3 linked regions of the Lonchura striata genome follow. The protein of the gene in region 3 interacts with the protein of the main gene of each other region in a pairwise test. Links are inferred from orthologs where the notes say so. Each region holds a gene or a part of one and is shown on either strand. Other genes may lie near its edges.

Evidence for each region.
Region 1: the proteins of NAB2 (region 3) and TCHP interact in binary tests that used the Homo sapiens proteins (3 or more experiments, as listed by UniProt). The two-hybrid records come from large-scale screens. The link is inferred for Lonchura striata from reciprocal best matches to the Homo sapiens genes NAB2 and TCHP.
Region 2: the proteins of NAB2 (region 3) and PHOSPHO2 interact in binary tests that used the Homo sapiens proteins (3 or more experiments, as listed by UniProt). The two-hybrid records come from large-scale screens. The link is inferred for Lonchura striata from reciprocal best matches to the Homo sapiens genes NAB2 and PHOSPHO2.

Annotation. Positions count from the first base shown.
Region 1 is NC_134620.1:11,049,350-11,058,487, reverse strand, and holds the start of TCHP (trichoplein keratin filament-binding protein), read left to right. Parts: upstream 1-5,149; 5' UTR 5,150-5,233; coding exon 5,234-5,281; intron 5,282-5,492; coding exon 5,493-5,549; intron 5,550-6,108; coding exon 6,109-6,177; intron 6,178-6,377; coding exon 6,378-6,548; intron 6,549-6,768; coding exon 6,769-6,881; intron 6,882-7,184; coding exon 7,185-7,251; intron 7,252-7,500; coding exon 7,501-7,673; intron 7,674-7,894; coding exon 7,895-7,976; intron 7,977-8,157; coding exon 8,158-8,343; intron 8,344-8,412; coding exon 8,413-8,499; intron 8,500-8,951; coding exon 8,952-8,984; 3' UTR 8,985-9,138. Other genes in the region: GLTP (glycolipid transfer protein), read right to left, coding at 978-1,160, 1,324-1,474, 1,955-2,088, 2,278-2,339, 2,689-2,806. UniProt on the Homo sapiens protein: Tumor suppressor which has the ability to inhibit cell growth and be pro-apoptotic during cell stress. Inhibits cell growth in bladder and prostate cancer cells by a down-regulation of HSPB1 by inhibiting its phosphorylation.
Region 2 is NC_134610.1:19,714,968-19,724,816, forward strand, and holds the start of PHOSPHO2 (pyridoxal phosphate phosphatase PHOSPHO2), read left to right. Parts: upstream 1-5,860; 5' UTR 5,861-5,972; intron 5,973-6,119; coding exon of another isoform or gene 6,120-6,150; exon of another isoform or gene 6,151-6,175; intron 6,176-6,675; 5' UTR 6,676-6,677; coding exon 6,678-7,403; 3' UTR 7,404-9,849. Other genes in the region: CFAP210 (cilia- and flagella- associated protein 210), read right to left, coding at 445-609, 924-1,116, 1,952-2,091, 3,082-3,238, 4,148-4,344, 4,439-4,612, 4,862-5,070, 6,120-6,150. UniProt on the Homo sapiens protein: Phosphatase that has high activity toward pyridoxal 5'-phosphate (PLP).
Region 3 is NC_134629.1:5,745,259-5,754,916, forward strand, and holds NAB2 (NGFI-A-binding protein 2), read left to right. Parts: upstream 1-5,539; 5' UTR 5,540-5,598; coding exon 5,599-6,393; intron 6,394-6,613; coding exon 6,614-6,747; intron 6,748-7,215; coding exon 7,216-7,267; intron 7,268-7,430; coding exon 7,431-7,563; intron 7,564-7,649; coding exon 7,650-7,850; intron 7,851-7,943; coding exon 7,944-8,038; downstream 8,039-9,658. Other genes in the region: NEMP1 (nuclear envelope integral membrane protein 1), read right to left, coding at 189-282, 384-456, 693-903, 1,851-1,972, 2,523-2,883; STAT6 (signal transducer and activator of transcription 6), read right to left, coding at 9,428-9,605. UniProt on the Homo sapiens protein: Acts as a transcriptional repressor for zinc finger transcription factors EGR1 and EGR2. Isoform 2 lacks repression ability.

The sequences.
Region 1 (9,138 bases), on a different chromosome or scaffold from region 3:
CCCCGGCCCCGGCTCCAGCGGCGGAGGCGCCACCGGGACCCGCCCTCGGGATCGGCCCCCGCCCGCCCCTCCCCGTCCCCGGGAGCACCGGCCACAAAACAGCCCAGAAAGAACAGCCCCAAAATACCCTTCAAATAAATAAGCCCCCAGGAAAAACGTCTCTGACACAGCCCTCCCAAAGAACAGCTCCAAAAACCCTCCCATAAACAGCCTTCCCAGGACACAGCTTCACAACAGCCTCCCAGGAACAGCTCCAAAACATTCTCCTCCAAACAGCTCTCCTAGGAAATAAAAACTTAATCTCCCTACCCAAAACAGCCCTGCCAGGACCAGCCCCAAAACACCTTCCCTAAAACAGTCTCCCCAAACACCCTTTGGGGCTGCCACAGCCCCAAATGAGGCTCCCAGGCCACGGGTACTGTCAGTTTTTATTAATTGCTGCTCCCGCCGGGGCTCGGGAGGCGAGGGGGGCTCATAAGGCACCGCAAACACCGCGGGGACAGTCCCTGGTTAATCCCAGCACAGGGGTTTGATCCCATGCCAGCACTGGAGGAGTTGGGATCACCCGGGAGAGTCATCAGCTCCTCCTCCATGGGCATCATTCCGGACTATCCAGTGCCAATCAACACGAGGTGCCCGTCAGCGGGTTCCAGGCACAGGCCGAGTGCCACTTCACTCACTACCAGGACACTTCATTCCCTGCTCCACTGAAGACAGGAATCCAGGAGTTGGGCCTAGAAACACTTGTTCTTCCTCTTGGGAAATCCAAGGGTGACACCCACAATTGTTTTATTGCCGTATTCTTAATAGAAAGTTAATTACTGTTATTTTTTGGTTAGAAAAGACGTTATCCACTGCAGATCCAGAGAGGAATCGAAGTCACCAGAGAGCTGGGAGCCACCCCAGCTGCCTCAGTGATGAAGACATAGGTAACACCCATCACACGTTATTTAATCTGTGCCAATCCTGTGCCAGCTTTAGGCTTTGTAGCTCAGCTCAGCGTTCATCTTCGTGTACATCTCATAAATTGCATCCAGGATTGGAGTGACCCTCGTGACAAACTGGTGGATTTTTTCTATGCTTTCCTCTTCCTTGACTTCTTTACCCTTCTCCAAGGCCTTCAGCAAATCGGATTTGTAGGGAAGAGCATAGACCGAGCCCTGTAAAACAGGGAGAGGGTGTTTGGCTCCCACAAACCCAACAGAGACCATAGGTTGGGTTGCTCCTATGTGCCAACGCTGTGGTATCTCCAGACACTTGTCAGTGCACGGGAACAGCCTTAGGGATGGTGGTTGGATGCTTGGAGAGGGAGGGAATGCTCACCGTGAAGAGCTTCTGCAGCATCCAGCCGTGGTATTTCTTCAGTGCGATCTCATAAGCCTTCAAGGCGTTCACTCGGATGAGGTTGGGATGCTCCTCATCCCTCTCACCATCAGAGATGCTCTGCAGCAACACCAGAATGAATTTCAGACCCCTGGGGAGAAGAGCAGAGATGTTTGGCTCAGGGAAGTGGGTGCTGCTTCCCAGCTTCCAGCCTGGTGTTTCCAAGCATCCCAAAAACCCAGAGTCCCAGCAGTGCATCCCTCTCACAGAGCTGGTGCCTGTCCCTGTGTGCACATCCAGGGAAGAGAGAGAGAAGGGCTGGATGGAGCACCCAGGGCAGGATGGAAGCCCTGGGTGAAGCCAGGGCTGAGCTGGGCAGGGTCAGGTGGATGGATCCTCCAGGCACTGCAGGCTCCTCCTGACCTGTCCAATTTGTGGGCTCATGCTCTGAGGTTCTGCATTCTTGGGGAGCCAGATTTGAGGAAGGAGTTCCCAACAGCCAAACACAGCACCCCACTGCCAGCTGCCCAGCCCACAGGGACCAGCCCAGCACACGCAGCCTCCACTTGGAGCTCTCCAGCTCCCCACATGCCGGGACACAGCCGGAGCAGCTCCCGACGCCGTGAGTCACCTTTTCAACCACATCAGCGCCAGCGTCGCGCCTGTCTTGGGCCAGGCCGAGCCGTGCAGCTCCTTCTCCACCTCCAGGATGTTCTGCAGCGTTTTGAACTTGGCAGGGTTGGAGTCATAAACCGCCCGGATTTTCTGCGGGCAGAAAAGGGGATTGGCACCCGGGAGCAGGGACTTTGAGCAGGAGCTCTGGGAATAAACCTGTGACCGGGTGAGCCACTGCTGAGCCCAAAGTCCTCACGGGAAGAAAAGCCTTTTGAAACACCTCCCACAGGTTTCTCCCCAGGGATTCTCCTCTCTGAGCCCTCCTGAGTCCCTTCCTACCTTGATATTTCCAGTCAGGTCTGCTTTGACCGGCGAATAGACGATAGGAGTCCCCAGGCAATCTGTGGAGACAGGGAGGGAGGACAGTTAGACACTGGTGGCACAGGGGACAACAAACTTCCCTTACCAACAGGTTTCACTTTAACCACAGCTCCGGCAATGAGACTAGTAAGGATCTCTGAGCTTCACACATGGCTGTTGGCCCTTGGGACAGCCCTGCCACTTATTACAGCCCCACCAGTGACCTCCAATCCCCCTGGCTGCTGGACACAGCCCTGGCAGAAGGTCCTGGAACATCCTGCCCGTCCGCAGGCAGGCAGCCCCACGTCCTGCCCTTCCGGGGCTGCCACACAATAGCTGACATTGTGGAGGGCACACTGTGCCACGAGGGCGGCCACGCCGAACACCCACCCGTGTCCCGACACGGCGTGGGATCCATGGGTGGGATGGCAGCTCCTGTCCCGCCGATGCCTCTCTCCTGCACCAGGACGTTTTTCCCAACGGGGCTGCTCGGCAGGTTTGACAGCATCGTGATGCAACCGCGGCCCTGGCAGAGCAGCCAAGCCCGGCGTGAGCCCTGGATCAGGTAGTGGTGGGGGGGGTCACCACACAGAAATGGGAAGATGCACCCCAGAGCGACTGAGCCCACAGCAGGCCTGATGCCAGCCCGCATCTCCCAGCCCCGGCCACCCCGGTCTCACCGAAGAACGGAGGCAGGTGCGCCACGGCCTCCAGGAAAGGCAAAGTCTCGATCTGCTTATCAGCCGGCAGCGGCTTGAACTCGTGTTCCAGCAGCAGCGCCATGACCAGCGTAGCCCCCTTCCTTTCCCCCCCTCACCGCTCCCCGGCTGAGGGGGCTCTGAGGCAGCGGGGGCCGACCCGGCAGCGCGCCCACGCCAGGCTCCGCCCCTCGCCGCTCCGACCAATGGCTGCGCATCGGCCGTACGGCCGATGCGCAGCCATTGGTCGGAGCGGCGAAGGGCGGGACTTTCTGCCCAATAGGAGGCCACGCCCTCATCGCCCCCTCAGACTCGGGGTCTGGCCGTGCGCTGCCCCGGCCGCGTTCCGAGCGCCGGGCGGGCCGGCGTTAATTATTCACGGGAGATAAATATTTGATAGGGAACAGATGGAAAACAAACCTCAACGCGCGCGGGATGTGACGGCACACCTCAGCCCCAGGGGTTGGGTGGGGAAAATGACACCGAGCTGGGGGGGGGGGACGCGGAGAGGTGAAGAAGAGGTGGGAGCGGAGGGAGGCTCAGCCCCGTCCGCTGCGTGCGGAGCGGGCTGGCCGGTGATGGGGCCCCAAATGCGGTGTTTGGACTGGTTATGCTGGAAAAACAGGTCGTGGGGCGATAGCGATCGGTGGCGGGCAGGGCGGGTGCGGGGAGCTGCCGGCTGGTGCCGCCTCCCTCCCCGCTGCCGAATTACCGCGGTGCCCGGAGCCCGTCCTGAGAGATGCCCGGACCCCCTCCCGGGATGCTTGAAGCCCCTCCCGGGGTGCCAGGAGCCAGTTCCGCGGTGCCTGAGATGCCCCGAGCCCATCCCAGGGTGCTCGGAGCCTGTCCTGGGATGTCCAGGGCTCACGGAGCCTCTCCCGTGGTGCCCAGCCCGTTCCGGGATGCCCCGAGCCATCCCGGGATGCCCACAGCCCGTCCGGCGGTGCCCAGCCCGTTCCGGATGCCCCGAGCCATCCCGGGATGCCCGCAGCCCCTCCGGCGGTGCCCGGGCTGTCCCGGGATGCCCTGAGCCATCTCGGGATGCCCGCAGCCCGTCCGGCGGTGCCCAGCCCGTTCCGGGATGCCCCGAGCCATCTCGGGATGCCCGCAGCCCGTCCGGCGGTGCCCGGGCTGTCCCGGGATGCCCCGAGCCATCCCGGGATGCCCGCAGCCCCTCCGGCAGTGCCCGGGCTGTCCCGGGATGCCCTGAGCCATCTCGGGATGCCCGCAGCCCGTCCGGCGGTGCCCGGGCTGTCCCGGGATGCCCTGAGCCATCTCGGGATGCCCGCAGCCCGTCCGGCGGTGCCCGGGCTGTCCCGGGATGCCCTGAGCCATCCCGGGATGCCCGCAGCCCCTCCGGCGGTGCCCAGCCCGTTCCGGATGCCCTGAGCCATCTCGGGATGCCCACAGCCCGTCCGGCGGTGCCCAGCCCGTTCCGGATGCCCTGAGCCATCTCGGGATGCCCGCAGCCCCTCCGGCAGTGCCCGGGCTGTCCCGGGTCACGCAGCGGCCGGTCCGGTTGGGCTCGCTGCGGGTGGCGCCGCGCTGGTGCCGTGCCAAGGCGGGCAGAAACAGGAACCTTTAAGCCCTGAAACGTTTACAGCGCCACAAACCCCGCGGTGCCGCGCGCTCCCAGCCGGCACGGCGGCACCGCGCCCGGCCCGGGCTCCATCCGCGCATCCTGCGAGCGCTCGGGGCGCGGCTCGGAGCGACCCGAACCCCGCCGCCTCTCCATCCCCCGTCCCTCCCGGCTCGCCTCCCTCTCTCCCCGCCTCCCTCCGTCGGTCCCCGCCTCCCTCCGTGTTCGCGGAGCCCGTCTGGCCGTGTCCCTCGGCGGGAGCCGTCGCGGGCGGGCGCGCTGCGATGTCGCTGTGGCGGCGGTGGGGCCGCGGCCCGGAGCGCAGGGCGGCCGAGCGGCGGGAGCTGCAGGAGCGCAGCCGGCAGCAGTGGGAGAGCACCAGCCGCGCCTTCGCCCGCGCCGCCGCCTGCTGCTCCCTGCAGGCGCGGTGGAGCGAGCCCCGCGTCCCCCCGCCCAGGTACGGCCGCGGTCCGGCGGGCCCCGGGGCGGTGCGGGGGTGCCGCTGACCGCCGGTGTGTGCGGCAGCGCGGCGGCGGCGCGGCGGGACGCGGAGGAGGCGGCGGCGCGGCTGGAGCGGCGGCGGGAGCGGCTGCAGCGGCTGCTGGGCGAGGAGCGGGAGGCGCTGGCGGCGGAGCTGCGGGAGCGGCGGCGGGGCGGGATGCGGAGCCGGGAGTTGCGGGACGGCCTCGGAGAGTGCGGGAGGAAGGTGAGGGAGCGGCCCGGCCGTGCTGGTCCCGCATCCCGGGACTCGTCCGGTGAGGGGCCGTTCCGTGCTTCAGCTGTACCAGCGGGACTTGGAGTGTACCAACTCCAACTTGCTGGAGCTGTCACCTCATGGTGCCCTGAACTCAGCCTCGGCGAGGTTTGGGATGCCGAGCACTCCCGTGTCCTGACCTGACCCAGCTCTGTGTTCCCAGTTTGCTGAGCCGCCGCTGCAGGAGCGCTGGAACAAAAACAACGCGCAGCTCCGAGAGGTGATGTTGCTTCCTCTTGAGTCCCTGCTGCCTTGTATTTATTAAACCGGTTTTTAACTTGAAAGTCATCATATCTCTACTGTGGTCACTCATCTTGCATCACAGCAACTGCCCTGAATTCTGATAAACAAAAGGCAAAGAAGTGAAAGGGTTGAAGGGTTGAAATAGTTTTAAGGAGCCCTCTCAAAGCTGTATTTTTAAAAGTCAGAAATCTGTTCAGACTCTGAGCAAATTTTCAGAGCTCACAAGTAAATATCTCAGGCACATAATATATAAATAATATAAAAATATAAACCTTAATATCTCAGCTGTACCTGCCGTGCTGTGGTGCTTCCTCATTCTTTATTCCACCCACGTGCTGCTGCAACATTGCAGTCCTGTATCACTGTCACTGTGACAATGACCTCAGCTCAAGACCTGGTGGGCACCTCAGACACTCAGATGAGCCCACCTCTGCAGAGGCAGATCCTCTTAGGATTTCAGGGCCAGAGAGTCTGGAAGACCTTGGGGGACAGAACCTCTGGCACTGATGACCCTGCTGCATCTGTTGTGTCTCCAGGCAGAGTCTGAGCTGCACAGGAAGCACGTGAGGGAGGCTTGGAGTGATCAGCTAACACAACAAAACCAGGTATGGGGGCAACCCTGGTGTTCTGGTCACTGAGAAGACTCTGAAATGTGTGTGTGGGTGGAGGGGTGACACTTGTGCCATGGGAGCTGATGCCAGGAAGGGCACTAACAGCTTGCAGGAGCCTGTTGGATTTTCTGAGCCAGAAGTTGTTTCTTTGTGTCAGGCTAACCTGAAATGCTGTTTTCTTTTCTTTGGGAAAGGAAGAGGTGACCAAACTTGAAGAGAAGAAACGTTATGAAAGTGAGTACGAAACGGCACGAGGGGAAGCGCTGGAAAGAACAAGACAAGACGAAGAGAAGCCTCAGCTGGAGAAGCAGCAAGCAGAGGCCTTGCTTCAGCAGATAGAAGAACTGAAACTGCAGGAGACAAAGGTAATCTTGACTTTCTCCTCATTGGAGAAAGGAATTTGTTGCTTCACTTGGAAATACAGCAGGGCTGACCTGACCTCTTCTCTCCATGTTTGCACTGCAGGGAGGGCTTTCCCTGCCTGCAGAGGAGCAGAACAGGGTACAAACTCTGGTCAAGCCTGCTCTCTGGGATGTTGTAGCTCTCTGATGTACTCTCTCTTGGTGTTTGCGTTTTCCTTTTTAGGCAACAAAGCTGAAAAAAGAACAAGAGAATTTATTAAAGCAGCAGCGGGAACTGAAGAATTTGGAAGAAGAAAGGAAACAAATGGAAGAGCACCGGAGGAAGAGCGAGTTTGGGTAGGACATCAAGTGGAGCTTGTTTTGGATAGAATTACTGTGCCCACAGCAGTAGTTGGGGCACAAGGAGATATTCTAGGTAGCAGTGGTAAGATGTAAATATCTGGGTTTTGGTGGATTTGCCCACAGCAGCCAGGGAGCAAAGGCACTGGTGCTGTTCCTGCTTTTTGTTTCTGGTAGCAGGTTCCTCATTGTCACAGATGCACCTCTCCGAGTGCAGCTGTACAGTGACATGGTGCTTTAGAGTCAGTGTGATTCTGGTTTGTTTTTTTTTGTTAAATTCTACTTTTTTTCCTCCTTCAGTCGCTTCTTGAAGCATCAGTGTGACATCCAGTTAAGGAGACGAGCACAGCAAGTACAGGAGGAGCTGGTAAGAGATTAATTTATACTTCACAGATGCTGTGTGGTGAAAAAACCTGTTGTGTGTGGTTTGCCTCTGCCTCTTGATTCCTACAGATGAGGAGGCCCCTTCTGGCTTGTGCACAGGGCTGGAGCACAAAGCTCACGGGGAAGCAGCAGATGGAGCATCTTGCTGAGCACAGCCTTGTCACTGTCACCAGTAATGCCTAGAGGAGCCCTGCACATGGAGAGTTGTTAATCTCGTGGTTTTCTCCCCCAGGAGACAGACAGGCAAATCTTATCAGCCCTCCTGGAGAAAGAAGAGGAGGATCAGAGCTGGCAGATCGCGCGGCGGGGACGGGCGGTGGCAGATGTGGCCTGGATGAAGAGGGTCATCGAGGAACAGCTCCAGCTGGAAAAGGAGAGGGAAGCAGAGCTCGAGACTATCTTCAGGTGAGTCTGCCCACCTCTGAACCTCACCTGAGGAGTCCGTGTGTGCTGAATGTTCCAGGTTAGGGGGTCACTGAGAGGCACAAGTGGGATGGGCACATCAACTGGCAGGGAACAAACCTGAGGAGAAACCCAAGTGCTCCTCAAGAATAGGATAGCTTGTCTGTGCCTGTGGAGTATACACGGGGGTTAACCTCAGAGATAATTCTTCCTCTCTCCTTTAGGGAAGAAGCAAAAAAAATCTGGGAGAAGAGGGAAGAAGAATGGGAAAGAGAGAAGGTGGCTAGAGATCGCCTGATGAGTGAGGTGATGACCTCTATTGAGGCTGTGTCCCCCTTGGCTCAATGAAACCATCATTCCACTTGTAACCCACCACCTTTTGGAGAGTTAGAGCATTCCATGGTGGGGTGGAATTTTTTTCCTTGTCTGGTGTGTTTCCTGGGAACTGTTTAACCATCTTCTCCCTCCATCTCCTCCCTTTGCACAGGTCCTTGCAGGCAGGCAGCGCCAGATCCAAGAGAAGATGGAGTTAAACAGAAGGGCCCAAGAAGAATCCATTAAATATCGAGAGCAGCTGATCAAAGAACTCGAGGAGGCCAAGGAAGGGACTCGCAGGGAGAAGGAGCAGGAGGAGGAACAGCAGAGAGCCCGCAGGAGGGAGCTGCAGGCACAGGTAGGCTGAGCTCCCCAATACACACCTGGCTGCTGAGGCTGCCCCATCTCACCTGAATTCCCTGTGCAGGGGACAGAGCACAGCTTGAGAGAGCAAGAGGAACAGCAGGAGGGATCAGCCCAGCAGCAGGAGGCCAAGCAGGGCTGGCATGGCAGGGTAAGGTCACACCTGGCACACACGTGAGCCCATCATGGAAGGTGACAGCATCCTTGTCTCCGACCTGCATTTTAATCATTACAGTGCTAGGACACAACACAGTTCCTTCCCCTCACAGAGCTCTGCAGTTTTCTCTCTTTTCTTTTTTTGCTGATATTGATATATTAGGCCCTAACTTTTAAAGAATTTTTGAGGCAGACGTTGCTAATGCCTCAAATCGTGTTCTGTGCTGAAAGGGATTTATTGGCTGCTTTAGTGGAGTTGGTACAGTGCAATTCCCCTGCTCAGTGTTTTTGTTGACTGTCCTGCTTTGCCTCGCTCTAAAATCAAATTTGAGTAACCCTACCTAAAGCCCCTGCCCAGCCCATCAGCTCCTGTGCATGTTCAAGAGTGTGTGTGGATTAATTCCAGAGCCCAAAAACCAGTGCTGATATTTGCTTTGATCCCGTTAGTTCTACAGTTACCCAAGAGCAGCTTGGACCTGAGGAATGAGCATGAGATGCAGCTTCAGCCTACAGAAAGAAAACTCCTGGAACTCCTGAAATAATGGTGCCTCTGGAATAGCCAACAGTGAGATCAAGACTTGACTCAGTAGATTTCTGAAAACCTTTAGTTGTGGCCAAGCTGAATAGGAGAAAA
Region 2 (9,849 bases), on a different chromosome or scaffold from region 3:
AAAGCTGAGAGAGGATAAAAGCTTACAGGTCTATGGCATCCTTAGCTGACACATGGCACTTAGCATCCCTCTCCACTTCTGTCCCCTGCCTTATTTCCCCAGAAAGGGTACATTAAATAGCTGAGTGAACATCAGCATTAGCTGCTGCTCTCTGGTGACCTGCCCAGAAGATACAAGAGCACAGCAGTGCATGGTTGAAAAAATGTCTTAATGGCACAGGACAGGATGTGATCTGTCCTTGCAAACCAGCCTTGACAATGTTCTGAGAATGCTGGTCTCCAACACCAGCATATGCTGAACACATATGATTAAAAACAACCCATGAAACAATAAAATCCAAACAAAACAGCAAACTTCCTCTCTTTCTCTCAGCAGGAGCTAGTGTACTGGTTTAGCTGCAACCTTCTTTCTGAAGGGATTGACAGGGTACAGCTTTCTATTTACCATTTGCTGGAGCTGAATTTTCTGTACTTCTCTGTTTGCCTCATGCCGTCCATGTTTTTTGTTGTTTTCCATTTCCAGGTGGATGCGGGCTTTTTCCATTAACACATCCCGTTCTTTTTCAGCCTCTTCTTTCTCCTGTCTCTCCTTTTCCTCTTTCAACTTCATCTGTAGTTTACAAAGCACACAAAAGTTAACCAAGGAGCTGGCCTGCTAAGCTGGAAGTTGGATCTCTCTGCAGAAGCAGCCCTGAATCAGTGCCCCAATGAGCTCGGTCGCTGTGGCTGGCCAGTGTCCAAGCCCAGGGTTTCAGCAGCCCTGGCAGAGGTGCACCCAACACAGAAGGGAGAAAGGGAGAGGGGACTCCAGGAAAGGCATCAGCAGACTTGCTGAAGCCTGCTGCTGATGGCACCAGAGTCGCTGCCTGTGGTCTGGGCCAGGCTCCTCTGCTGGAGTAAGCAGAAGTAGCCCAAGTTTCTTACCACAGTGGCTCTGTGTTCAGCAATAGATTCAATGGCAGCCTTTCGTTTTGCTTCTCTCTCTTTGCGTTTTTTTTCTTCTTCAGCTTCTATTCTTGCCACATCTCTAGCCAGTCGATGATCTTCCTTCTTTAGTGCCTCACCCATTTGTTCCGCTAATCGACTACTGATTTTGTCCTGTTGTTCCTGTACTTGTCTGCAGAAGAACATGAGCTTCCATAATATACGAGAGCAACACTCCTGGGTCTGCCTGAAGCTACCAAACTCAGCAATTCTGCCTCTAGAGTTCTCTCCTCTTGACCACACAGACTGGCCCACCCACCTAACTCATGATCTCCTTCTGTTCCTCCTGTTTGGTTTATTTTTATATTAACTGATTTAGCAAATAAATGTTCCCAGTGTTCTTGTAGTACTAGTTTCTGCAGCAATAATGAGCTGGATCACTCGGTAACAATTCCAGTGAGCATCTTGCCATCAGGAGGGGAATGTTGGAAGTATTGTCCAGAAGCAGGAAGGGAAGAAAACTCTTAGATTGACTCAGTGGTATCATCATCTAGTACCTGCAATGTTAAACTGATAAAATATTTTCCCCTTTGTAAGAACACAATGTGGTTAATTAATGTATGTGCCTTGTTGAGAAGTCATATCATTTTTCTTGAGCTGACTCAGAGAAATATAGGTTATACTCAATATTTTCATCAAGGATCTTAATTGTCTTTAATTGTTGAGGAGGTGGAGATCTGGTAGGCCATATGGAAAATCTCTCTTCAAAATACACTGGTGCAAAGCTTTGCACTTTCATAAGCCTCTGTACTTTGAAAGGTGGAGAGATTGCTCCCTCACACTTAGTAAGGAGCCTGTGAAAAGAATTCCTTTTTCTCCTGAATTCCCTGCTCTCCCTCTCAGTAGAATTTTGAATAATGTTTTAGAATAACTGTAAATTGTGTTATATCATTAGTCTAAATGATCTGAAAACAACTACAGTATCATTTTTAGATTATTCACAATTTATACCCTAGCATTGTACCTACCTACGCATTTCAGCTTCTTTCTTTTTTCTCATCTGAGCAATAATTTCCTTTGCTTTAAAATGAGCTTTGATCCGATCATCTTCTTCCATTCGGTTTTGTTCCTCTATTGCTTTGATTATTTTCTGGTCATTTACATACTCCTGTATGGGCAAAATGGTCCTGATGTAACAGATGATGTTTAGAATATCTGGACCTGGGGTAGCAGCTTACAGGAATCACTCCCTGTTCCCCCTCCTCAAGTTTCTTTTAAAAACATAAGAGAAAAAAGGGATCCTCAGGAAAGGAGAGAGAAGACAGAAAAGGGATACTTCCACTTACTTCTGCCTCTCTATTCAAACATGCATCAAGAGGAGACAGTAGATGTGAGGGTGGGGAAAAGGAATTGAGCATCAAACAGCTGCTTCTCTGGTGCATTGCACAAATTGCTGTGTGATGCAGAGAGCATTGTCCCATACTCCCACACACAAACAGGCGAGGGGGATGGTCCAACCACCACCCACACGCAGATCATTCTGCTCCTGACCCCACCTCATCCAAAACTACCCCGTCTAAGAGCTTCATCCAAAACACAGTAGGAAAACACAGGGTTTTTATGTAAAAAAACAACTGTCTTTTGCATTCTGGCCAGAACTGCTCTGAGGCACTTCTTGTTTGTACCTTAGTAGGATGCCTTTAAAGATGAAATGAGGTGGCAGCAAGTCTTGACTAAATTCCTAAACCTCTCCAATCATAAATATCTAGTCAAAAACATACATTCAGTCACTATTCCCTCTTTCGAACAAAGAAAAATGGGCTTAAAACACCAGGAATGTGAAACTTAAATCCAGTTCTCAAGTCAAGGAGATATTCCTTGATGTTTTCAGTCAAATCTTTAACCAGAGACCAGTCAAAGGATTAAATGCCAACATCCTGTCAGACAACAGAAAGGAGGGGCCTCCAAGAGGTCTTTCTCAAAAGCACAGAGAAAACAGATGGCCTGCAATTGGCAGGGTAGGCATTTGATACCAGGCTACTAAAACTGTCAGCAAAGACCCTGTTACCCACAATCCTGTTTATTTGTGGGCCAAGTCCAACCATCACAGCCAAGGTGAAAATAGGCATTTTGAACTGTCTGCTTTCCTGCTACTTACATGATACAGCTTCCGGCGTTCAAGTTTTTCCTCGTGTTCCTTTTCTTTTTTTCTCTGAATTTCTAGTTGGTACAGTTGAATTGATCTCTGTAGTTCTTCCTCTTCTCTTTTTTTTTCCTGTTTGGCCAGATCTGCCTGATGCTCATGCTCCTTTATTCTGAATCAGAAAAAGGTGAATAAATTGTCTAGGAACTACATGAAGTAATGAACTGCATAACCATAGGTACCTTGCATTGAAGAATGTGATACTTTGAGTTGAAGGTAGGTAGAATATCAGAGGTGAATGACAGCATGATTGTTTGTAATGGTAACCCTGGTCAGAAATGATCTGCGTGGTATGCTCACAGTTTGCAGTCTTGTGGTGTTAAATTTTAGTTGGATGACTCATTAGCACCACTGCATTGGTAATGCTCTGGCCTATATCTGCAGCATTCTTGGAGAACAAGATTTCCCCAATATGACCCACCATACCTGTGTTTCTTCTGGGCATGCAGGCAGCAGCTCAAACTGGTAATGTTCTATACTAAGTTCTGTAAGAATCTATGTTTTGCACCTGGAATATGTAAGACCAGATTTGAACCCTTCCTCTGCCTTGGGAAGTTTGATTCTTTCTATCAGACCATTAGGGCCAGTCCTATAAATACCACTGGGGACCCCTCCATAAGATTTATGGAAAATCTGAGAGAAGGAATAGAAGTGGCAGTAATGCCTTCTCTTGTTGTGCAGTCTGGAAGCTCATTATGGGTAAATGGAAAATCTAATTTAACCTTTTCCTTGTCTGGAACAAAAACTGAGTAAAGTACACTTAAATTTCATTAACAACATTTTAACAGTGATTTGACTAAAACCTGCTGATGCTTCCCAGAGGCAATTTTGCATACAAACTGTTAGCAACTAAAAACGCATATAGCTTTTCCCTTTTGGGCAAGATCTTCTGTGATCTGCTTTTAAAAGTATGGCATTTGTGAGACAAATTATTAGCAAGTTCTGTAAAAATCTCATGGAGTGTATTTTGAGAAGAGTTTAAATAAATAATGAAGTAGGGTTGCTTTTAATTACTACTTACTGTTGTAACTGATCTTTGCATAGTGCCTGTTGATTCATATAATGCTGATGTGCTTTTTCTTGCTCGCTAATAATGTATTCTTTAAATTGACGTTGCTCTTCTTCATAGTCCCTCTTTTTGTTATCAGCTAATCTTGACTTAAGAAATTCAACTTGAGCATCTCTTTCTTTTAGGACCTTAGTAAGTAGAAGTGCACTCTGCAAGAGAACATTTAAAGTCATTTTCATATTCAGAAGTATTTAGAGACATTCAGTACAATTCCAATGTAAAAAATATAAGCTGTCAACAAACATGGAACTGTCTCATTCTGTCATCCTGATTAGATAGGTAGGTTTTTGCACGGTCAATAGCCTCCTTCCGTTTTGCTGCTTGGAACTTTGCTTCTTCCAAATCAATTAACTTTCTTTCTTCCTCTTCCTTTTCTTCACGTAGTTTTTTGGCTTGAAGTTTCTGTTGTATCAGGTTCTATAGTGCAGACAAAATTAGAAATCACACTTAAATTTTGGATTGGTTTTTTACTTTGCATTTCAGCTTTAAGTAAAAAATAAATGTTTATGTTAGATGTTAAATGTATCTAAATGGCATTTAGCTGAAATAACTATTCAAAAGAAAATGTTGAACAAAGGAAGTATAGCTAGAAATGTTACAATTCTATATATCTTTTGTATATTTGTATATACAAAAGCAGCTACCCTTGTTTTCAAATGTACTTACCAGGGCCGCACTGCGCGGGTCTTCGCCAGCAGCTTTGGACTCCAAGTGCACTTCATCCTGTTCTTTCTTCTCATCGATGTGTGCTGCTTCTCTAGTGCTGCCCTGAATCCTTTCCCATTCTGCTTTTGGCAATATAATGACCTGATGAAGATCTGCTTCATTTGGAAGGAAATACTCATCTAGAACATCCCTTTCTTTCCAATGATGTGCTGTGGAGAGGGAAGATAAAATACAAGGGTTACTTGATACCAGAAAATCCAATAATCAAACATGCATCAGGATTTGAATGCTGGAATGGTAACAATACTAGGTTATTCTTAGCATTACTTAGTCCCTCATCCCCGAACCCCAGAGCTAAGACAGGGTATCTGTATCTGTAGCCTACCTATGACCAGTGCATGTACTTGGATGGGCACTGACTGACTGGGCTGTTTGTGTGTATGTGTGGGTTTGGCTTGTAGTAACACACTTCCCAGGCAGTACTTGGGCATGCTTCTTAGAACAGCAGGGGGCAGAGACCTCCCTAAATGAAGAGGAGAATATTGGTAAAGCCATTCTGCTGGCTGGATGAGGCAGCAGTTTGGACACAGACTGTGCCTTACTACCATGTCCTGCACATACTCATCATATTTACTGAAATAGTTCTGCTGTAGAACAGTTTCTGATTTGTTAGCAAGACTAGGATTTCTTTGTTGCATTACGCTCACATACATATGTGCAGGCATAAATGCAGCTTTTCTAGTTGATGTCTAGGTTTTGTAAAATGCACTTTCAAGTGTCACCACCATTTTTGAAGGAAGTGGCACTCTGTACAGAGTGGTATTCTGCAGAAATTGTGTGATTTGCAGCAGACTGACAGGCCACGTCTGAAAGGTAAGGAGGCTTTCTATTAGAGTGACACCGGTGTCAAAGTCGGCTCTCCAGATGCCGTTGCTGACCGGTTTCCCGACAGGGGTCAAACCCGATCCTCTCCCTCTGTCCTAGGTGAAGACAGCCTCCGCAGAAGTAAAGGCGCCCTGATGCGGCCGTGCCCTGCAGGCAGGACTCTGGCAAGCCCCTCGTTCTTCCCCAGCTGCTGTCCCTGGAGGTTCGGGGGCCTGCGCTGCGTCAGGTCAGTTCTCTCCGCTCGGCTCCAAGGGACAGACAGCCCCTCCTGCGGTCTGCAGCTGGGGGAGCCTTGGGGAGAGTCAGGCTGAGCACCCGCAGCCTCCCGGAGCCCTCCCGCGGGTCCCGCTGCCCGCGGCGCAGCCGCACTCACGGGCGCCGCGCCGCCGCCGCCCCGCCGCCATCTTGGCGGGCCGCGCGCCGTTGCCGGGCGCCCGGCGGCCGCGGTCACGTGAGGGCGCGGCGGGCCGGGCTCCCGGGGCGCTGCGACCGCGCGCGGCCGCGTGGAGCGCGCGGGCTCCGTCCGCTCGAACGACGGTGGGCGTGTCCTTCCGAAACACCGCCACGAGAATCCCGGTTTGCTGGCGCTGGCAAGTGCTGATGGAGAAATTGGTATCTGCTCAAACTGATGGTGTGTGAATATGGAACATTGGTGCTGCGTTAGGAAGTATTAGTAAGCATGAGTTAGATACTGTCACGGTTACTATTTATAACAGAAGTTGGACACTGAAGTTTGGCATTTACAAATTGCATTTTTAGCTACAGCACAACTTTCCCATCTTGGTAATGGCCATAAATGGTTTATTTTGTTCCAGTATTTTCCTCCAGAATTTTTCTCTTCTGAGCACAAGGTCAGGGTAAGAATATAGTACTTCTGCTTATATAAATAATTTTCTTATTTGTTTGTTTTGGAAACTGTTTTCTCACAGCTATGAAATTTCTGTTGGTTTTTGATTTTGACCATACAATCATAGATGAAAATAGTGACACCTGGATTGTGAAATGTGCTCCTGAAAGAAAACTTCCTAATGAATTAAGAAACTCTTACCAACCAGGACATTGGACAGAATATATGGGCAGAGTCTTTGTCTACTTGGGAGATAATGGTGTCAAAGAAGAAGAGATGAAAAGAACTATGACAACAATCCCTTTCACTGCAGGAATGATAGATCTTCTGGGATTTATTGGCGAGAACAAAGAGTTGTTTGATTGTATAATTGTTTCAGATTCTAATACAGTATTTATTGACTGGATTTTGAAAGCTGCTGACTTCCATAAAGTGTTTGATGAAGTGTTTACAAACCCTGCCACATTCAGCAGTACTGGCTATCTTACTGTACAGCATTTCCATGCTCACCATTGTGCAAAGTGCCCTAAAAACCTTTGCAAAAGGAAAGTTTTAAAAGAATTTCTAGATAAACAGTTGGAGCGAGGAGTGAGTTATACACAGATTATATATATAGGTGATGGTGGGAATGACTTATGTCCAGTAATGTTTTTGAAGAAGAATGATATTGCTATGCCCAGGCAGGGATATACCTTGGAGAAAAGGATTTCTCAACTGGCCCAAAGTCTCAGTCCTGTACAGTGTTCTGTTCTGGTTTGGTCATCTGCAATTGACATTATGTCTTACCTGAAACTGCTTATAAAGGAATGATTCAAATGATAAAAGGCAACTGATGCAGTTACATCTTAACTTACTGGGAGAGAAAAACTGCATGTGTATAAAAGCTCAAAATTGTAAAATTGGGCTATTATCTGAAATTATGAGGGTTTTAACCACAACATAAAACTGTTTATGTTCAATCCTGGTGATAATGGGAAAGCTCAGTAAAAAGGCCTTCTAACACAGTACAGATTCCTACATAAGTGGAGAAGGAATGTTGGGACAGGACTTGTCATTAGTTTCTGGCTACTCCCTCCCCTCCAACCCTTTACAAGTATATAACTGATACATACTTGCAATCCCACACACTTAGGGGAAGGAGTAGGATTCCTGTTCAAAAGAATTAAATCCTTTACTTAGGAAACATTAGCTGCCAGGAGCATGGTTCTAGAGCTGTTGGCCTTTATACTTCTTTGATCTGATGGCAAATTATTTGCTTGTAATCTTATTTAATCTGAAGATGCATTTATATTTTCAATCTACTAATTATTTCACCGAACAAAATTACTTCTTAATATTTTGTATTATCTTGTATTGTAAAGACAATAAAAGTTGCTGTCACTGAAAAATGCAACACAACTAATTTGTGTCATGTATTCTGCTGGCCTGTATTTCATCAGGCCTGGAGAGAATAGACACAAGTGTAGGTGTAAGCCTTTAGCTGGTCATACTGTTTCTCTTCTGGAAAGCTGCAAGGATGTTGCTTTTTTGTTTAAAAGAAAAGTCTCACTCCCATTCTGACTACTGCCCCGACAGCATGCTGCTGCCACCCTGTAGAGAGCTGACAGTGGTTTGATCTTCCATGCTGGCAGCTCTGATTCAGCCAGATGCTTTTTTTCCTCCTTGGTTTCTGCTGCAGTGCACAGGCTCACAGAATTGTACATACATATACACGCATACACTGATTTTACCTATTCATTCTCATTTATATCTACAGCACAATCTCTTACAGTCTGGAAGGAAGTATCTATGTCCATTTTAACTTTTAAACAGATGGTTCTAAGTAGTTCTGAAGAATTGTGACCATGCAGTCTTTCCACTGGCAGTGAGGTGAGCCCCAAGTGTTGGACTGTCCATATAAAGGTATTAAAAGCAAGTCTCATTAAAGTTAAATAATGTGTTTTCATGCCAAATGTTTTTATTCTTATATCTCAGAAAAGGTTCAAAATGCTGATGCAATCTGCTGTTAAACTGAGGTCATATTTAGCTTAAGTGCTTTAATAACTGAGAGATTAGGCCAAATTTCACAATACCTCAGTTGCAGATGTCTGAGGAGTAGCTCAGCAGCCTGCAGTTGCCATATCTGTCTTCCTTTGTTTTCTGTGCAAGGTTATTCTTATTTTCTTATTGACATTTCGTACTATCACTGTCTTCTTTTTCCTTAATTGAAGATTTTTGAGTGGTCTTGCCTGTTTTCAGGCTGCTGGTTTACACAAATTTCCCTTGTGCACTTCTTTCCTTGCCTCACCTATTTTACTGTATTGTAAAAAGTTGCTTTGAACAGTCTGTTGCCTGAGATGTCCAAAGCAACATACTTCAGTTCTCAGGAGCCTGGCTTTAGTGATGGATATTTGGTAGGTGTCTGAGATGTTCATATTTGGGATCTTAGCCTAATGTTTTACTCAAAGGCATAAAGACATTGAAGGACTGGTGGGTCTCAGGCTGTGGCAGGTTTAAGTTGTCTGGTTTACAGGTCATACAGAAGAATGGTAATGGCTGTTGCATAGGGCAATTTCATATATTACTTTGAGTTTGAAGTTGTTGCCATCATTTGACCCCAGATGGCAGCTAAGTAGAGCAGCTTGTCCACTCCAATCCCCCACTGAGTGGGGAGGAGAATTGGTGAAAAAATTAAATCCTATGAGTTTAGATAAGAACAATTTAATAATTGAAACAAAATAAAATATAGTAGTACTAAGTTACTATAATTGTAATGAAAAGGAGAGAGAAAGGAATGAAGTGCAGGAGAAACAAGTGATGTAGAATACATTGCTCAGCACCCGCTGCTGGATGCCCAGCCCACGCCCGAGCAGTGCTGGGCCAGTTTCTGTACTGAGTGTGCCCTCCCATGCTCTGGGATATCCCTTTGGCCTGTCCGGCTCAGCTGTCCTGGCCATGCTCCCCCAGCTCCTTGTGCAGCTTCTCACTGACAGAGCATGGGAAACTGAAAAGTCCTTGACTATGGGTAAGCACCACTTAGCAACAACCAAAACAACAGTGTGTGGTCAACATGATTCTCTTAGTAAATCCAAAACAGCACTAACCAGCCACTTAAAAGGAAATGAACTCTATTCCAGCCAAAACCAGGACAGTTGTATGTTTCCTTAATTCTAGATGTGCTTCTGAATGTTCCAGATTCTGTGCTGGTCTCTTCTGTGTTTTTCAGAACTTATGGAATAGCTTGCTTTCAGTTTGTTCACAGATCTTGGTTACTGCT
Region 3 (9,658 bases):
CACGGCTTGGACGAGAAACTTCACCACCACACGAGACCCCAGACCAAGCCTGGGGTTCTCACAGGTTGCAGGCAGGCTGTGCATACCTGCCCCAGGTGTTGAGCTGCTCCGTACCAAACCCAGCCCATCCCAGTACAGGTATAGGAAGGGCTACGAGGCCTCTGACCCCATCAAGATGTGAGACCTACCTTGGGCATGACCTTGTACATCATGTAGACGAGGACAAGCAGCGAGGCCAGCAAGCCAACACTGATCCCAGCTGAGTAGTAGAAGATTTGGCTCCTGCAGTGATCACACAGGGAATCAATCACAGCAGGTGTTTTATGGGTGCCTGTGCACAAACACCCCCACCCAGGAGCCCCCGGGGAAGGGAGGGGGCTCACCTGCTCATTGTGTCCCCACAGAAAAACAACAGCAGGCCCAGGAAGAAAACAAGGAACAGCTTAGGGTCAAAACCTGGCAAAAAAAAAAATAAAACAAAACCAAAAATTAATCCCAGTGGAGAGGGGCACAGTGGGAAGCTCCCACCTGCCACAGGGTCACAAGGATGGGACCTCCAAGTGCCCCAAATTCCTTCTGCAGACCGAATTCCCTTCCTGAGGAAGGAACAGGTCCTTGGATCATGAGCTGCCCTGTCCTGCTGTCCCCTGGGCAGCCCCAGGCCCCCTTCCCGCAGCGGGGAGGGGACGTACGTCGGAAGAGGACGACGGAGTAGGTGGTGCCGGGCTCCAGCAGCTCGACCTTGAGGCAGGTTTTGTTGCTGTAGAGATCCACGTCGATGCTGGTGTCGTTGAGCTTGCCCCGCAGGAAGGAGAAGAGCACGTTCCACAGGCTGAACTTCTCCAGCTCCTCCTCGCTGTCCACCTGGGTGACGCGGATCATCCGGCTGCTGGTGACGCGGATCTGCGGGAAGAGAAGGGGAACAGGGCAGCTCAGCCTGGAGAAAAGGAGACTCAGGGGGGAGCCTGTTGCTGTCGAGGCAGGAGGGGAATGAGAAGACTCTGATTCAGAAGGCTGCTGAGAGTAAAACTCTGATTTATCCAAAATACACTGCTCTTTTATACAGAGCTTCATGAGGATCAAATCCATTGGTCCTGAAGTGAAAACAACCCACAGCATTGGTGCAGAGTGCTTGTCACACAGTGATAGAACTTCACTATAAACAAAGTGGAAAACAGAGAGATAAAGAATTATTTACATTCTCTCCAGCTCTTTCCCAGGTGTCTGCCTGGCTAGAAACTCTCAGTTTCTTTCTTTGACTGAATCTGAGACCCACATGAGCTCACTGCTCTCTGCAGCTTCCTGAAAGGTGGCTGTGCTCAGGTGGGGTCGGGCTCTTTCTCCAGGAATGGACAGAACCAGAGGACACAGTCTCAAGCTGCACCAAGGCAGATATAGGTTGGGTATTAGGAAAAGGTTTTTGACTGAAAGACTTGTATGTGACATTCACATTCTCTGGACAGAGAGACACAACTCTGTCTCTGAAGCACAGAGAGAAGAAAACAACCTTTATACTAAATCCCACATAGAGAAAACAAAAGAACAGAGATAAAGATTGTTTTCTTTTCTCCTCCTGAGAGACAGAGGTCTGCCTCTCTCTGTCCAAAAAATGTGAATGTCACAGTCAAAGCTCTGGAATGTTCTGCCCGGGGTGGTGGTGGAGCCACCACCCCTGGGTGTGTTGAACACAAGCCTGGGTGTGGCACTGGCTGCCGGGCTCTGGTTGAGGTGTTGGGGCTGGGTGGGACTGGATGACCTCGAAGGTCTCTTCCAAGCCAGTGATTCTGTGAATTCTGTGAACGGAGGGGCTGCAGCAGGGACAATCTGCTGCCTCCTCCTGCTGCCCCCACCTGTGTCCTGGTCCAGACGTCGTTCCAGCGCGGGACGCGGGTGTTGGTGTAGCAGAAGCGCCGGGATTCCCCGTGCTGGGACGCGTGGCCCTCCTGCAGCGCCACGATCGCATCCTTGGGGCCTGGCGAGCACGGAGAGAAGGGCTCAGGCCTTGCTGCCCCTGCTTCACCCACCCAACCCCTTCTCTCCACTTTGCCATATTCCCCACGGTATTTCCGCTGTTTTCCTCGGAATTCGCCCTCGCTTCTTTTCTGGGATAACCCCGTGCCCTGTCGGGATCAGCGCATCCCCATCCCCGCGTCCCTTCTGGCCCGACTCCCAGCTCCAAAATCCCACCTCAGCGACACAAACCCGAGGGTGCCTCCGGCACGCACTCGCCCCCCGAGGTGAAGCGGCTCCCGAACGGCATCGAGGCCCGATGGTACCGGGAGATCGGCGCGGCGGGACACCGGGACACGAAAGCCCGGTCCCACCGGGCCGCACCGGCCCCGGGAAGCGCTCAGAGTGTTCCCTGGGGGCGGAAGGTGCCTCTCAGCGGACACCGGGCCGTTCCCCGTGGCCCACGCCGCCGGTCCCATGGTCCCGCCACGCCGCCCCGGGAGCCGCCGCTGCCCCGCTCCCCACTATGACTCCCCCCGGTCCCCGCCCATGGACGCCACTGTCCCGCGCACCTGCAGCTTCCAGGAGCAGGAAGGACAGGAACAACAACAGCAGCAGCACCACCGGCAGTCCCGACAGCCGCTGCCGCCCCGGCGCCGGTTTCATCCCTCCCGCCGCGGCTGCACCGGCCGCTTCCGCTTCCGCCCGGTCCCGCCGCCGAGGAGAGTCCACAGCCAATAGGAGAGGCGCTCGCCGGGCTTTGTCGTCGATTGACAGTTGGTTTAACCTATCAAAATTCAGCTTTGATCTCGCGCCCCTCCCCTCTGTTTCTGCCAGGTTGATTGACAGAGATTTTAACCTATCAGTAGTGAGCATGCAGGAAGCAGCCATGTTCCCGCCCTCGGTTACCACGGTGACCAACCTGCCCGCCATTCACTCAACAGCCACGCCCCACCCTGGTAACGGCTCTGACAGACTCGCCCCTCGACCAATCAGAGCGCAGGCATCACAAGCCACGCCCCCACCCCTCGGGTATCCCGTGTGATTGACAACCGCCTCCGCCTATCAGGGCGCGGCCTCGCGGTGTTGGCGCGAACGGGTCACGCGTGGGGGGCGCGCGGGTCCCGCCCCTCGCCCCCCGCCCCTCCCGCGGCCGCCGAACCCGCGGGCCCGGGGCCCGCCGCTCCCACCGGCCCGGGGCCCGCCGGCCCGCACGGGGCTCTGCCAGCGCGGCCGTGGCACGACGGTCACCGGTGACCCGCGGCGCGGAGGGGGTCCCGCATCCCACGGGTCAAGCGGCGGCTCGGCTCGGGGGCTCCGGTTCGCCCCGCTGCCGGCACCGTCTGTCGCTTCGCGGCGAGGCTCCCCCAGTCCCGGGAAGGGGGTGCCGCTCTCCGCGCGGGTTCCCCCCCGCCCCCCACCGTGGGGCGGTGGCCACCCGTGGGCGGGCAGCGGGGAGCGGGCTCGGGCGGCCCCCCCGCTCCCCCTCCGCGGGCCGTGGGCGGCGGAGCCGGGAAGCGGCGGGGCCGTGGGCGGAGGATGTGCGTCAGCCGGGGGCAGCGCCGGGGCTGGGAACGGCCCCGCCGCGCCGGACGCTTGGTCGTGGAAGGCGGGGGGAGTGACAGGGGGGCTGTGGGGAGGGGGTGAACCGGGAGGGCTTGGGCAGGACCCCCGCCATGGGGACCGTGCCCGTGCGGGATCCCCCGGCAGCACCGGGGATGTGCCCCGGGCACCGGCACGGCCCCCCGGCCAGGATCGCGCGGGGGCGGCTCTGGCCCCACGCCAGGCGCCGGCCGCGGTATAAATAGCGCCGAGGCACGCAGGGCCGGACCGGGGTGCGGGCCGTGACACCCCCCCTCCCGCGGGAGGGACCCCGGTGCTGCCGCCGAGGGGCTTCAGCATCCCCCCAGCCCACCCGAGACACCTCCGTGCGCTCCCGTTCTCGCCGCTCCGGGGAGCCGCTGGCGCGCTCCCCCCGGAGCCCATCGATGGCAGCGTGTGCGTGCCGGTGACACCGAGTGCCAGCCCTCCGCAAGGGCTCCGGCACCGGGGGGCACTGCCGGGACAGCGGTGCCGCTACCCGGAGCATCCCCGCTCCCGGTCGGGTTGCCACCGAAACCGGGGATGCTGCGAGCGCTGCCCGCGGGACCCCCGGGATTCAGGGTGTCCGCGCCGACACCGAGCACTGCGTCCCCATAGCGGGCTTCTGCCTCTCCCACGGGCCCCCCGTGCCACGCGTGTCCTGCCCGGTCCCTGCCGGGGTTGCGGGACCCCCGATGCCGCCGTGCGGGGCGCCGCTCCCGCTCTCCTCCCGCTGCTCCGGTGCCGGGGGGGGGTGGGGAAGAAGGGGGGCCGGTGCTGCCGCCTCCGCCGCTGCCCCCCCCCCGCGCTCGGCGGGGGCGGCAGCCGCGGGATCCGCCCCCGGGGCCTCCCACGCGCGGCGCAGCCGGGGCCGCTGCTATTTCACGGTCCCGCCCGTGTGGGCGGCGCGCAGAGCGGCGCGGCGCGGCGGAGAGAGAGCGCCCGGCCCGGCCGCGGGACCCCCGAGCCCCGGCACCCCTCGGACCCCCGGCTAGAGCCGGCCCCGGAGCCCCCCCGCCCCTCGCCGGCCGCCCGGCGGGGCGGGCGGAGCGGACGGAGGCGGTTCCAGGCGGCGGTGAGCAAGCGGGGGACGGCGGGAGGGGACGGGGCACCGGGGGGCACCGGCCGGGGCGGGAGTCCCGGGGACCGTGGCCGTGGTGGGAGTGGAGGGACCGTAGGGGGACGGAGCGACGAGGGACACCGAGCAGGGCGGGGGGCCCACGGGGTGTTGGCTACGGGGCTCCGGGCGGGTCCGGCGCGCCGGGATGCACGGGGAGAGGATGGGACCGGGGGCACACCGCGGCACCGGAGGGTAGCGGGAGGGGTCGGCGGGCTCGTGGGGGAACGGCGGCCGTGGCAGCACTGAGGAACCGTGGGGACGGCGGGGGGATGGAACGGCGGGGGTCGCCGGGCAGAGCAGAGCCCAGGGAAGGGGTGACCCCGGTGGGTCCGGGAGGAATGGGGGAGGATGGGGCACAGGGTGGGCTCGGGGCTCGGCAGGGCACCAAGCAGCTGCGGGGACGCTGGGGGAGGATGGCCCTGGTGGGACCGGGGTGGGGATGGGGGCACCGAGTGGGGCGGGGTCACCAGGGAGGGATGGCCCTGATGGGATCCAGGGGACCACGGGGGAACAGGGCACGGGCAGGGCAGGGGCTGGGGGATGTTGGCCATAGGATCGGCATTGGCACATCCCCCCGAGGATGGGGGGGCTGGGGGAAGCCCCCAGATGTGTATCCTGCTCCATGTGAGGACCTGGCACGGAGGGGCTGCTGGCTGGGGTGGGGGCAGAGGCTGGGCACAGCCCAGGGTAAGGGGTAGGGGCTGGGATGAGTGACCCCACTCATGTCTGTGTCATACCCAGGACTGTGGCCGCAGGGACCGTCCCAGCCCGGAGCACATGGGTGGGACTGGGCACCCCGTGGGGTTTAGGGACACTGGAACACCCATCCATGGGAATGCTCCCTTTGCCCTGTACCCCCAGGCCCCAGGGTGGGGAGGGGCTTTCTCCTGCATGTCCGTCCATCCCGGTGGTGAGTCCGTCTGTCCTCTGTCCACCACAGGCTCGTCATGGCCCTGCCCCGCACGCTGGGGGAGCTGCAGCTGTACCGGGTGCTGCAACGCGCCAACCTGCTGGGCTACTACGAGACCTTCATCCAGCAAGGGGGGGACGACGTGCAGCAGCTCTGCGAGGCGGGCGAGGAGGAGTTCCTGGAGATCATGGCGCTGGTGGGCATGGCCACCAAGCCCCTCCACGTCCGCCGCCTCCAGAAGGCCCTGCGCGAGTGGGCCTCCAACCCGGGGCTCTTCAGCCAGCCCGTCTCGGCTGTCCCGGTCAGCAGCATCCCGCTCTTCAAGCTCTCCGAGGCCGGCGGGCGCAAGGCGCTCAGCAACGGGCACGCCAGCCCCGGCGAGGCCGCGGGCAAGGGGGGCGGCAGCGCCGGGACGCCCCCAGCCCGCAGCCCCACGGAGCCAGGGGAGAAGCTGTCACCGTCAGCGGCTCCACCGTGGCCGGGAAGGAGCACCCCCGAGTCGGAGGGTGGTGGGGACGAGGAGCCGGGCGGTCCCCCCTTCTCCCCGGGCGGGAGCAGCGGGGAGCAGGCGGTGGGCACGGAGCTGGAGCCGGAGTTGGCACGGACGGTGGTGGAGAGCGTGGAGCGGCTGCTGCAGAGCTGCCCCCGGGGCGGCGAGGCCGAGCTGCGGGCGCTAATGAAGCTCAACAAGAAGCTGGCCAAGGCTGTGGGGCACATCTTCCAGCTGGAGGATGGTGACCGGCAGAAGGAGGAGGAGATCCGCCGGCACAGCGCGATCTACGGCCGCGGCGAGGCCCGGCGCCGCGAGGGCAAGCAGCTCACCCTGCACGAGGTGGGCTCCGTGCTTGAAGTTCCTGAGATGTGCTGGGCTGGGACAGGGACCGGGGTGGCTCTGGGGGTGTGGTGAGTGGGTGGGATTCGAGGTCTCCTCCCACGCCGGTTGCATCCACCAGCCTGGAGCCGGCGGTGCCTTAGCCGAGGGTTGCGTGGGCGCCGCTGTCCCGTGGGCGCTGCCGTCCCTGTCCCCGCTCACGCATCATCTCTGCCCCCAGCTCATCATCAATGAGGCGGCCGCCCAGTTCTGCCTGCGGGACAACTCGCTGCTGCTGCGGCGCGTCGAGCTCTTCTCGCTGTCACGACAGGTGGCACGGGAGAGCACCTACCTGTCCTCGCTCAAGGTCGCCAGGTGAGCCCACACCTGGGAAAACCCCCCCTTGCAGGCCTGGTGGGGCCTGGCTGTCACCCCCTTGCCCCCTGGGACCTGCACCATGATCCAGCACTTCTGGATGGGGCCAGGACCCTACAGCCCCCAGTTCCCTTTTGCCAATGTGGGTGGTTTCTGCCTGACCTCGGAGCGTGGGATGTGGGGAGGATGGGAATGATGGGGATGCCAGGCGTGGGAAGGGATGCCAGGCAGCAAAGGGATGCCGCTGGGGATGCCCTATCTCTTGCCTCCATCCCCAAAGTCCCCTGCCCGCTCTGCCAGGGTTGCTTTTTCCCTTTGCTCTCCAGCTGCCTCCCTCTTTTTCCGCCCCCAATTCCACCCGTGCCAGATCCCCAGCTTCTGGCATTGCCCTGCTTGGCGGTTCCGCTCACAGCGCGGTGCCTTGCTGCGGCCACCCCCACCCCTGACACAGCCCCTTTCCACCCCCAGGGCCCATCCCGAGGACAGCGGCGCCGTCGTGGCCAAGCGGCTCAAGCAGGAGGTGGGTGCAGGTGCAGGGGGAGCGTGTGCAGGTGTGCACACCTGTGAGCGTGGGTGTGACGGCGCAACGTGCCCGGGGCTGCCCATGCCAGCTTGGGGTGACGGCTGTGGGTGTTCTGGGGTGGGTGCTGCGGGGGACCTGCTCACCTGTGTGCTCCTGGCAGGCGGGAGAGCAGAGCCGTCCCGAGCTCCTGGCACTGCCGGTGGGGCTGGAGCCCCCCGGGGCCGGGTACCGAGCCAGCGTGGAGGAGGACACGGGCAGCCTCTCCGGGGAGAGCCTCGACGGCCACTTGCAGGGTGAGTGGGGGTCCTTCCCTTTCCTGGGGGGCTGGTGGTGGTCGTGCCCCGGCTCCTGGCGCTGAGTGTCACCCCTCTCTCGGCAGCGGCGGGGGCCTGTCCCCGGCTGACCCCTCCGCCCGGTGCGGCCCCGGACGTGCCCCTCGGCCTCGCGCCCCACGGGCTCTGGAGCCGCCACATCCTCCAGCAGACGCTGATGGACGAGGGGCTGCGCCTGGCCCGCCTGGTCTCCCACGATCGCGTGGGGCGGCTCAGCCCCTGCCTGCCGGGGAAGCCCCCGGGACCAGGTGAGCCCCCGCGGGGCCGGCGGGGCAGGACGGCACCGCTGCCTTCTCCTGTAGAATCGCCATCCTGACGCCATCTCCGTCTTCTCCCCACAGAATTCGAGGACGGGCTGGCAGAACGGGGTCCGCCGGCCCCCCCAGACCCACCTCGGGGCACCATCAAGGTGGAGCAGGAGACCAGCAGGCAGTGAGGCCCCTGTAGCCCCCCCGCCACCATTAACGAAGCAATAACGTGCTGGGGGGACGGGTGCGGCGGCGCTCCGGGCCGGGGGAGCTTGGTGGGCGGGGGGGGGTCTCATCCACAGCCCCCCCGGCCCCCTCCCGTCCCACACCGACGCTCTGGTTACCTCAGCCGCGGCGGGATGCGACTCCCAGCAGCAGCAATACCTTCATCCCGCCCGGCTCCGCTCCCTCGCCGTCCCCCAGGGCTGGGGAGCCCTCGATGGACTGGAGCTCCCTGTACAGCCCCGTGCTGACCGTCCCCCCCACCCCGGGCCCGTTCCCGCGTGGGGACAGACGCGTCGCACTGTGCGCTCCCACGTCAGCGCTGCCGCCCACGCCGGGCACACGGTCCCGTCCGCCACCCCCCCCACCCGCAGCGCCCACGCACCAGCCGCCAGCCCCCTCCCCGCAGCACGTGCCAGCTCACTGTGCACCCCCCCTGCCCACCCTGCGACCCCCGCCCCAGCACCGCATCGGCTGTAAATACCCCCCACCCACCCTCCTCCCGCAGCCCCCGCACGCGTCCCCCCCGCACCCCGATACCTGCGTGTGCTTCAAGCATGGTCCCTGTGCCGGGGGGTGCCACACGTGCCGTGGGGTGTCACCCCCTCCCAGCACGACGCAGGCGGCGTTTGACGGGCACTGGGGAGGTGCTGTTCCCCCCCCAAAAAAAACCCTCGGGGTTCCTCCTCCTTTTCCCCCCTACAAGCCGTGCCCAGCCCCGGGGTTCTCAACCCCCGCCCCCCCCTCCCCGTTAGGACTGTGTGGTGTCTTTTTAGAGCATTAGCGACTCTTCCTTTGTACCGTGTACAGTAGATTATTTATTTTGTTATTTTGGAATAAAACTTTATTTTATGGCTTATCTTCCTAACCCCTGCTCCAGCCTGGAGGGAGGGGCAGGGGAAACAGCTCAAAACCCCAAAGCAAGCGGGGGTGCAGGGGGGCCGTGTCCCTTTCCATGGGGGTCTCGGTGTCCCCCTCCCACCCCCTCCCGCCGGGGGCACCGGGCTGGCACCTCCGCCCCGGCGCCGTTCGCGCTGCCGCCTCCCGCCCCCGCGGTGACTCATCCCGGCGGCGTGGGCTGGGGGCACCGCGTGCGGCTGCCGGTGCTCCCCACGCAGGACGGGGCCCCTGCGCCTGCACCCCTTCACCCGCGGACCCCCGGCAGCGGCGGGGGCGGGCAGCAATGCACGGAGGGGGGAGGGACGAGGGTTACCCCAAATCCCCCCAACCCCGCTTTTCCCAGCTGGAGTTTCCACTCCTGCAAGGAGTAGTATCGAGTCCATGAACCCAGGCAAGGCTGGGAGAGATTTGGGGGGGGGTCCCCAGTCCGATGCTCACCCCCCCCAGGAGCCCCCTCACGCGTGTCCTGGCCGGATGCTGTCATCCCACCGCGCGTCCCCCAGCCCCCAGGAGGACAGGCTGGAATTGGGGTACCCGCTGTGCTGCGGGTGGGGCGCGAAGGGGGGCAACAGGGGCACCTCCAGGAGCTGCTCCAACTCCGAGGCTGACGGCTGCTCCATGCTGGGCGACATCCTGGGGACAGGAGCAGCAGGGTGAGCGAGGGTGGGCTGGGAGGGGCTTCCCCC